Nothobranchius furzeri: one gene and its partner. The protein of the gene in region 2 interacts with the protein of the main gene of each other region in a pairwise test. Links are inferred from orthologs where the notes say so. Each region holds a gene or a part of one and is shown on either strand. Other genes may lie near its edges. The genes, in order: dera and aldh16a1.

The links.
Region 1: the proteins of aldh16a1 (region 2) and dera interact in binary tests that used the Homo sapiens proteins (3 or more experiments, as listed by UniProt). The link is inferred for Nothobranchius furzeri from reciprocal best matches to the Homo sapiens genes ALDH16A1 and DERA.

Annotation. Positions count from the first base shown.
Region 1 is NC_091741.1:64,226,146-64,229,953, forward strand, and holds the end of dera (deoxyribose-phosphate aldolase), read right to left. Parts: intron 1,613-3,808; coding exon 1,463-1,612; intron 1,273-1,462; coding exon 1,216-1,272; 3' UTR 685-1,215; downstream 1-684. UniProt on the Homo sapiens protein: Catalyzes a reversible aldol reaction between acetaldehyde and D-glyceraldehyde 3-phosphate to generate 2-deoxy-D-ribose 5-phosphate. Participates in stress granule (SG) assembly.
Region 2 is NC_091752.1:71,354,816-71,358,632, forward strand, and holds part of aldh16a1 (aldehyde dehydrogenase family 16 member A1), read right to left. Parts: intron 3,017-3,817; coding exon 2,829-3,016; intron 2,758-2,828; coding exon 2,599-2,757; intron 2,522-2,598; coding exon 2,363-2,521; intron 2,100-2,362; coding exon 1,946-2,099; intron 1,500-1,945; coding exon 1,424-1,499; intron 1,348-1,423; coding exon 1,242-1,347; intron 1,173-1,241; coding exon 1,042-1,172; intron 961-1,041; coding exon 790-960; intron 1-789.

The DNA of each region.
Region 1 (3,808 bases), on a different chromosome or scaffold from region 2:
CAACAAAATAACCAAATGACCTTCTAGTATCTCAGGTCATTCCTTTGTTTTGGTTCTTCACTAATGCAGAGTAAGCAAGCTTGTTTTTACCTTTTTGCTGGTAGAGCTGAAGCATGTCTAAAGGTTCTAAAGGACTATGATTAAACCTCCCTCAAATGTAGAAAAACAAGAATCCACAACATCATGGGTGACTTAAAATGCAACAATAAATAAAATGTTTCATTTTATTATTTTTAAACTGAGTGGAAACATCATCCTCCTTCTGTGACAGCTCAGGCTGGTAAAGCTCACCCAAACAGTCCAGAGGTCGTTGTCCCAAAGAGGAGGTGTTTACCCATAATGCAACAGCTATTATAAACCAAGTGCCTCTGTTCAGTAATGACTGAACCCAAAGTAACATGTTGATAAAACTCACTTCTGTACATTATCCATTCTCTATGACTCTATATCAGAAACAATCTTTTACACTACAGACACTTACAACCTCATTTAACCAGTGACAACCCCTTTAGATGCTATTCATAAGAACTAGAAGTCAGATGAAATACAGAACATTTAGCTGTTTTTATTTCAAACTTAGTTAAAAACGAGAAAAGGATAACGATTAGACATTATTTTAAGCAAACAACTAAAGATGTTTTACTGACTGTTGCTGACGTGGATGACTCAAGGAAGAGAGAGGCATTAAAACTTGGGTCAATCTTTATTTATCTTCTGTAATTATGATTAAATCATTAAGTCAACATGACATCAGATCTTTGTGATCATCAGAAGATGTTACTCTTCAGCCAGAGCCATCTGGTAGTCGGTGTGAATCTGGACTCAGCAGGGGAACTCTAAACCACACAGAGATGAGCTTTAGACCCATATGGACGTCCCAGCATTGGTACTGGTCAGCAGAAAGGTGCAAAGCTGAGTCTGAAACACCTGATTTGTGACAGTCGTGTGCTGATCTTCTTCATCTCAAATCATCTTAAATCCCAGCTTGGTTCTTCTAAACACAATAAACCAAATTTGGGTCTTTTTCTGTTTATGCTGTACCAAGGACACGTGGATGAAAAAAAGTCCTGGTCAGAAGCCCCCGGTGGGATGTAGAGGACCAAACACATCCAGGACTCTAATTAACAAAATGTGACTATAGACATTATGCTTACTGATTAGTTAACCAGGTGTGTCTGAGGTTCTGATTAGAACTGGATCAGGACGTGTGTGGGTTCAGGCCATAGGCAGCTCATGAAAGGCTGCATACCGTCCAGTCACATAATGGTAGATCTGTGTGAGTACAAACAGAGAATGAGATGCAGCAGTGTGTGTGTGTGTGTGTGTGTGTGTGTGTGTGTGTGTGTGTGTGTGTGTGTGTGTGTGTGTGTGTGTGTGTGTGTGTGTGTGTGTGTGTGTGTGTGTACGTGTGTGCGTGCGTGCATGTGTGTGTGTGTGTGTGAAAGAAAGACTGAATCCTCACCTGCCTCTCTATATCAGCCAATAGGCTGCTGGCTCCAAGGCGAAACAGGTGAGGACAGAGCCAATCAGGGCCCAATTCCTCTTTGATTAAAGTCAGCCACACCAGAGCCTCGTGGGCCGTCCGGATCCCCCCAGCCGGCTTGAAGCCCACCTGTAGAGACAGGAAGCAGGTGGACTCTTTTACCTTGAAACGGGACACGAGATACTGGTCTGTACTCAAGTATGACCAGAGAGAAACAACCCTATAAACCCCTGATCCTGAGGGCTCAGACAACTCGGAGACAAGTTATTGGAAAACCCCAAGTGACTTCTCACAAGTTTAAAACCTGTCTATCCATCCATCCATTTTCATGCACTTATCCAGTGTCGGGTCGCGGGGGCAGTAGCCTAAGGTGAGAGGCCCAGACTTCCCTCTCCCCAGCCACTTGGGCCAGCTCCTCCAGGGAAATCCCAAAGCGTTCCCTGGCCAGGTGAGAGACATAGTCTCTCCACCGTGTCCTGGGTCTACCTTTAGGTCTCCTCCCAGTTGGACGTGCCCAGAAAACCTCATCAGGGAGACGTCCAGGAGGCATCCTAACCAGATGCCCGAGCCACCTCAACTGGCTCCTCTCGATGTGGAGGAGCAGCGGGTCTACTCCGAGCCCCTCCTGGATGACTGAGCTTCTCACCCTATCTCTAAGGGAGAGCCCAGCCACTCTGCGGAGAAAACTCATTTTGGCCGCTTGTATCCACGATCTCGTTCTTTCGGTCACTACCCAAAGCTCATGACCATAGGTGAGGGTAGGAACGTAGATCGACCGGTAAATCGAGAGATTCACCTTCTGACTAGGCTCTCTCTTGACCATGACAGACCGGTACAACGCCCACATCAGGGCAGCACCAATCCGCCTATCGATCTCACGCTCCAGTTTTCCCTCACTCATGAACAAGACCCCGAGATACTTAAACTCCTCCACTTGGGGCAGGACCTCATCCCTGACCCGGAGAAGGCATTCTACCCTTTCCCGAATCAAGACCATGGTCTCAGATTTAGAGGAGCTGATTCTCATCCCAGCTGCTTCACACTCGGCTGCGAACCGCTCCAGCGAAAGCTGAAGATCACATTCTGATGAAGCCAACAGGACAACATCATCTGCAAAAAGCAGAAACCTGATCCTCAGGCCACCAAAACGATCCCCTCCACACCTTGGCTGCGCCTAGAAATCCTGTCCATAAAGGTTATGAACAGAATCGGTGACAAAGGGCAGCCTTGGCGGAGTCCAACTCTCACTGGGAACGAGCCCGACTTACTGCCGGCAATGCAGACCAAGCTCTGACACCGGTCATACAGGGACCTAACAGCCCGTATCAGAGGGCCTGTTACCCCATACTCCCGGAGTACCCCCCACAGGGCCCCCCGAGGGACACGGTCAAACGCCTTCTCCAAATCCACAAAACACACGTAGACTGGTTGGGCAAATTCCCAAGCACCCTCCAGGATCCCCCTAAGGGTATAGAGCTGGTCCAGTGTTCCACGGCCAGGACCAAAACCACATTGCTCCTCCTGAATCTGAGGTTCAACATTGCGACGGACCCTCCTCTCCAGAACCCCTGAATAGACCTTACCAGGAAGGCTCAGGAGTGTGATCCCCCTGTAGTTGGAACACACCCTGCGGTCCCCCTTTTTAAATAAGGGAACCACAACCCCGGTCTGCCAGTCCAGTGGGACTGCCCCCGATGTCCACGCGAAATTGCAGAGCCGTGTCAGCCAACACAGCCCCACAACATCCAGAGCTTTAAGGAACTCCGGGCAGATCTCATCCACCCCCGGAGCCTTGCCACAGAGGAGCTTTTTAACCCCCTCAGTGACCTCAGCACCAGAGATTTGAGAGGCCAACCCAAATTCCCCAGACCCTGCTTCCTCACTGGAAGACATGTCGGTGGGATTGAGGAGGTCTTCGAAGTATTCTGCCCACCGATCCACAACGTCCTGAGTAGAGGTCAGCAGCACACCATCCCCATTATAGATAGTGTTGGTAGTGCACTGCTTCTCCCCCCCTGAGGTGCCGGAAGGTGGACCAGAATCTCCTCAAAGCCGTACAGAAGTCTTGCCCCATGGTCTCACCGAACTCCTCCCATGCCCGAGTTTTTGCCTCGGCGACCACACAAGCCATGTTCCTGCTTGGACTGCCGGTACCCGTCAGCTGCCTCTGGAGTTCCACAGGCCAAAAAGTCCTGATAGGACTCTTAATTCAGCTTGACAGCATCCCTAACCGCCGGTGTCCACCAGCGGGTTCGGGGGTTGCCACCACGACAGGCACCGACGATCCTGCGACCACAGCTCCAGTCGACCGCCTCAACAATGGAG
Region 2 (3,817 bases):
AGTGAGTACTACGCATATGTAAGCGGAGTACTCTGTGATAGTGAGTACTAGGCGTATGTAGACGGAGTACTCTGTGATAGTGAGTACTACGCATATGTAAGCGGAGTACTCTGTGATAGTGAGTACTAGACGTATGTACAGTGGAGTACTCTGTGATAGTGAGTACTAGGCGTATGTAGGCGGAGTACTCTGTGATAGTGAGTACTAGGCATATGTAAGCGGAGTACTCTGTGATAGTGAGTACTAGGCGTATGTACAGTGGAGTACTCTGTGATAGTGAGTACTAGACGTATGTAGGCGGAGTACTCTGTGATAGTGAGTACTAGACGTATGTACAGTGGAGTACTCTGTGATAGTGAGTACTAGGCGTATGTAGGCGGAGTACTCTGTGATAGTGAGTACTAGGCGTATGTACAGTGGAGTACTCTGTGATAGTGAGTACTAGACGTATGTAGGCGGAGTACTCTGTGATAGTGAGTACTAGGCATATGTAAGCGGAGTACTCTGTGATAGTGAGTACTAGGCGTATGTAGGCGGAGTACTCTGTGATAGTGAGTACTAGGCGTATGTACAGTGGAGTACTCTGTGATAGTGAGTACTAGACGTATGTAGGCGGAGTACTCTGTGACAGTGAGTACTAGGCGTATGTAAGCGGAGTACTCTGTGACAGTGAGTACTAGGCATATGTAGGCGGAGTACTCTGTGATAGTGAGTACTAGTACCACTGTGATCTGTGTCGGGGCCAGCGGAGGTATTTGTGAGCATGTCTTCCTGTGGTGAAGCTCTTACCCGGGCTGGACCTTAACAGCAGCCTCCACAGCATCTCGAACATCCTTCCTGCCTCCATCAGGACACAAGGCCAGCACCGCGCTGCCCCCTGGTGCCCGCACAGCCATGGTGCAGCCTGACACTGATTTACAGGCTTTTCCACCAACAAACTGCAGGTAGGACTGAGGAGAACTGAGGGGAGACAGAGAATCTCTAAACTCTTCCTTAAACACTCCACCGTTTGTTTAAACCGATAAACTACTAAAACCACACCTTCCAGGCTCAGACGATTCAGGAATGAAAGCCTGCGACGGTTCTGTCCCAAACCGCGTGTAGTCCATGAGACCCGGAGCGGAGCGAGGAAGAGGAGTAGAACCAGACGGACGCAGAAACTGGTAAAGGCCCTGGATGAACGCAGAGGAGATCTAAATGTATGGAACAACACTGGAGCACCAGAAGAAAGGTTAAGCTACCTCCTGTCCTCCATCAGTGCAGGTGCCGCTGTCTTTGTGACCAGAGACAGGAAGACAGGGATCCACCACAGAGCTGGAGTTCACCCACACAGAGCCAACCGACAGACTGGGAATGACACAAAAAGTGTGAGTGAAACGACGAGAAAGGAGAGCCACCTGAGCAGAAGAACGACGAAGGACACCTGTGTGCCGTCTCCAGAGCCAGAGTCAGATCTTCGGTCCAGATGGACGCCGCGTGGCCGTGAGGGCTGTGGTTTCCTGAACACACCAGAGACCATCACCGCTGTAAAGGCCTTCCATCAAAGCTGCTGCTGACTGTCTCACCTGACGTCGCTGGCTTCACTAAAGGTTTGCTTTCTAAGTGGAAACGGTTCTCTGAGCCTGTGTGTGAAGCTTTGGTATCACCAGACCTGAAGCCCTGACGAATGACCAAACACAAACCCGTAACACCGCCCTACAACGCATCCCCACGCTTCTGGAATAAGCCGCTAAGATGGCAGACACAGCCCAGTCTGGACCGGTGGCTCAGCTCAGGACAGCGGCTGAAGAAGTCAGTGGAGGTGTAAACGGAGGGGGGCTAACGTAGCGGACTCACGGACACACGCTGCGATTCTGCTTCACGGCTGCAACAACAAAACGTTCTTCCCAGAGCAGACCGAAGCTCTGATAACTAAACGAGTTCATCTGGGGAGTCTCCTTCTTACCCATGACCACAGCCTCGGCGTTGCTCCTGAAAGTCACGACGGGCAGCAGCGGTCCAGGGGGGGGGCTGACCACGAACGGAGAGGAGGGGGCCGCACCACAGAGCAGCGTGGGGGGGTACTGGGAGCCAGGAGGGGGTGGGCAGGACTGAACCAACTGGGGAGAAAAGCAGATTTATTAGTGGACCCGAGCGGACGTCTGAGTGGATCTTGTTATTCCGTCTCAGTCCAGGCAGCTTTACGTTTAAGCTGGCGAGCTTATCGACGGGAAACGCGCCGGTTGAGTATCACTTACTGCTTTGTTGACTTAAACTAGGAGAAGAAGAGTAATCCCTCAGATCTGAGCAGATTAAAGTCTAACGATGACAGGTGACACCTCCTGTGAGGTCTAACCAGCTTTGTGTGAGGCTGAGCACCAACCGTGGCCCCCTGCTGCTGAGCCTCCTCTACTGCAGCGTCCACGAGGACTCGGTCTGCATCACTACGCAGGCTGACACACTTCAGTCCAGCGATGCGTAGCTTGAGACGGGCGGTGACACTTTCTGACACACTTTCCTGCACACACAGCACCCAGTGGACCTGAGCACAGAGAGAGATGTTAGAGATCCTGCTGCAACCGCTCCAGCTCCAGCTCTTCTTCTACAGCGGGTCGTCACCTCCTTCCTCTTCTTGAAGGCGGCCTGCACCACTTCATCCACAGCGCTGTCCATGTCAGCTGACTCAAAGATGATGAAGGGACAGACGGGCCCGATGCACAAGGAGACAGACACAGGAAGTCCCATCCCTGCTGTGGCCTTGCACAGCGCCGCGCCATCCTGAAGGACAACAGAAACGCTCTCGTGTGAAGTCACGGCTCAGGTTGAACTCCAGACCGAGTAAAACACACCTGTTGGTTCCCGCTGTAAGTCACGAAGCTGGCATTAGGGTCCTGAGCCACTTTAGCACCAAGAGTGACATCACTTCCTGTTAAAACATTAAGAGCTCCAGCAGGAAGTCCTCCTGCTGCCAAAAGCTGAGCCAAAAGGAGAGCTGGAGGGGCGGCGCTCCGACCGGGAACAGCGATCACGGAGTTTCCTGGAGAGATCCGAAACAACAAGATCTGGGACGAAGACTAAACAAGGAACGCCAGCGTGTGATTGGCTCGTTCCTGGGAAATACTAATAAGATCATAAAACAGAGATCATGTGCATGGTTGGGACTACCCAACGTGGGACCCCTCCCTAAAGCACACCAGGACTGTTTCAGCCCCTCACGTGCAGCACGACATTTCCAAATGACTGGAGGACGTCGGCTTGTTTTTCCTGTGGTTGAGGGGTTGAGCTGCGGCGTTTGTGCTGTGTCATTTTCTAAATTAATTAAAAGAGATTACAGATTATCTGACAATCCTAATCCAAAGATAACAGGCATCTCCTAGGAGCTGGGTCGACACCATGGACGCACCGAGTCCAAGTACTTATACTGGAGTGCTCACCCATACGAGTACTAATACAGTGGGAAAAAAGTACTAGGCAGCACCGATAGTGCGAGTTGTCATCAGCGTGTTGGAAACCTTTGAGGAAGATCATTTAAGTCAAGCGAGTTCAAAGTTTCACAATAAAATACGAGTTTGTTTTTTTATTGATCTAAAAATGTCATTTTGTGGCTCTCGAGTAGTTTCAGCTTGGTGCTTCTGGCCCGTTTTCACAGCTGTGAAGTTTCACCGAAAGGTGCTTAGAATGAAAATGTATTATTATTATTACAATTATCAATATTATTATTACTATTATTATTATATTATTACTATTATCATTATGATATTATTATTAATATTACTATTATTATTACTATTATTATTATTATTACTACTACTATTATCATTATTATTACTATTATTAT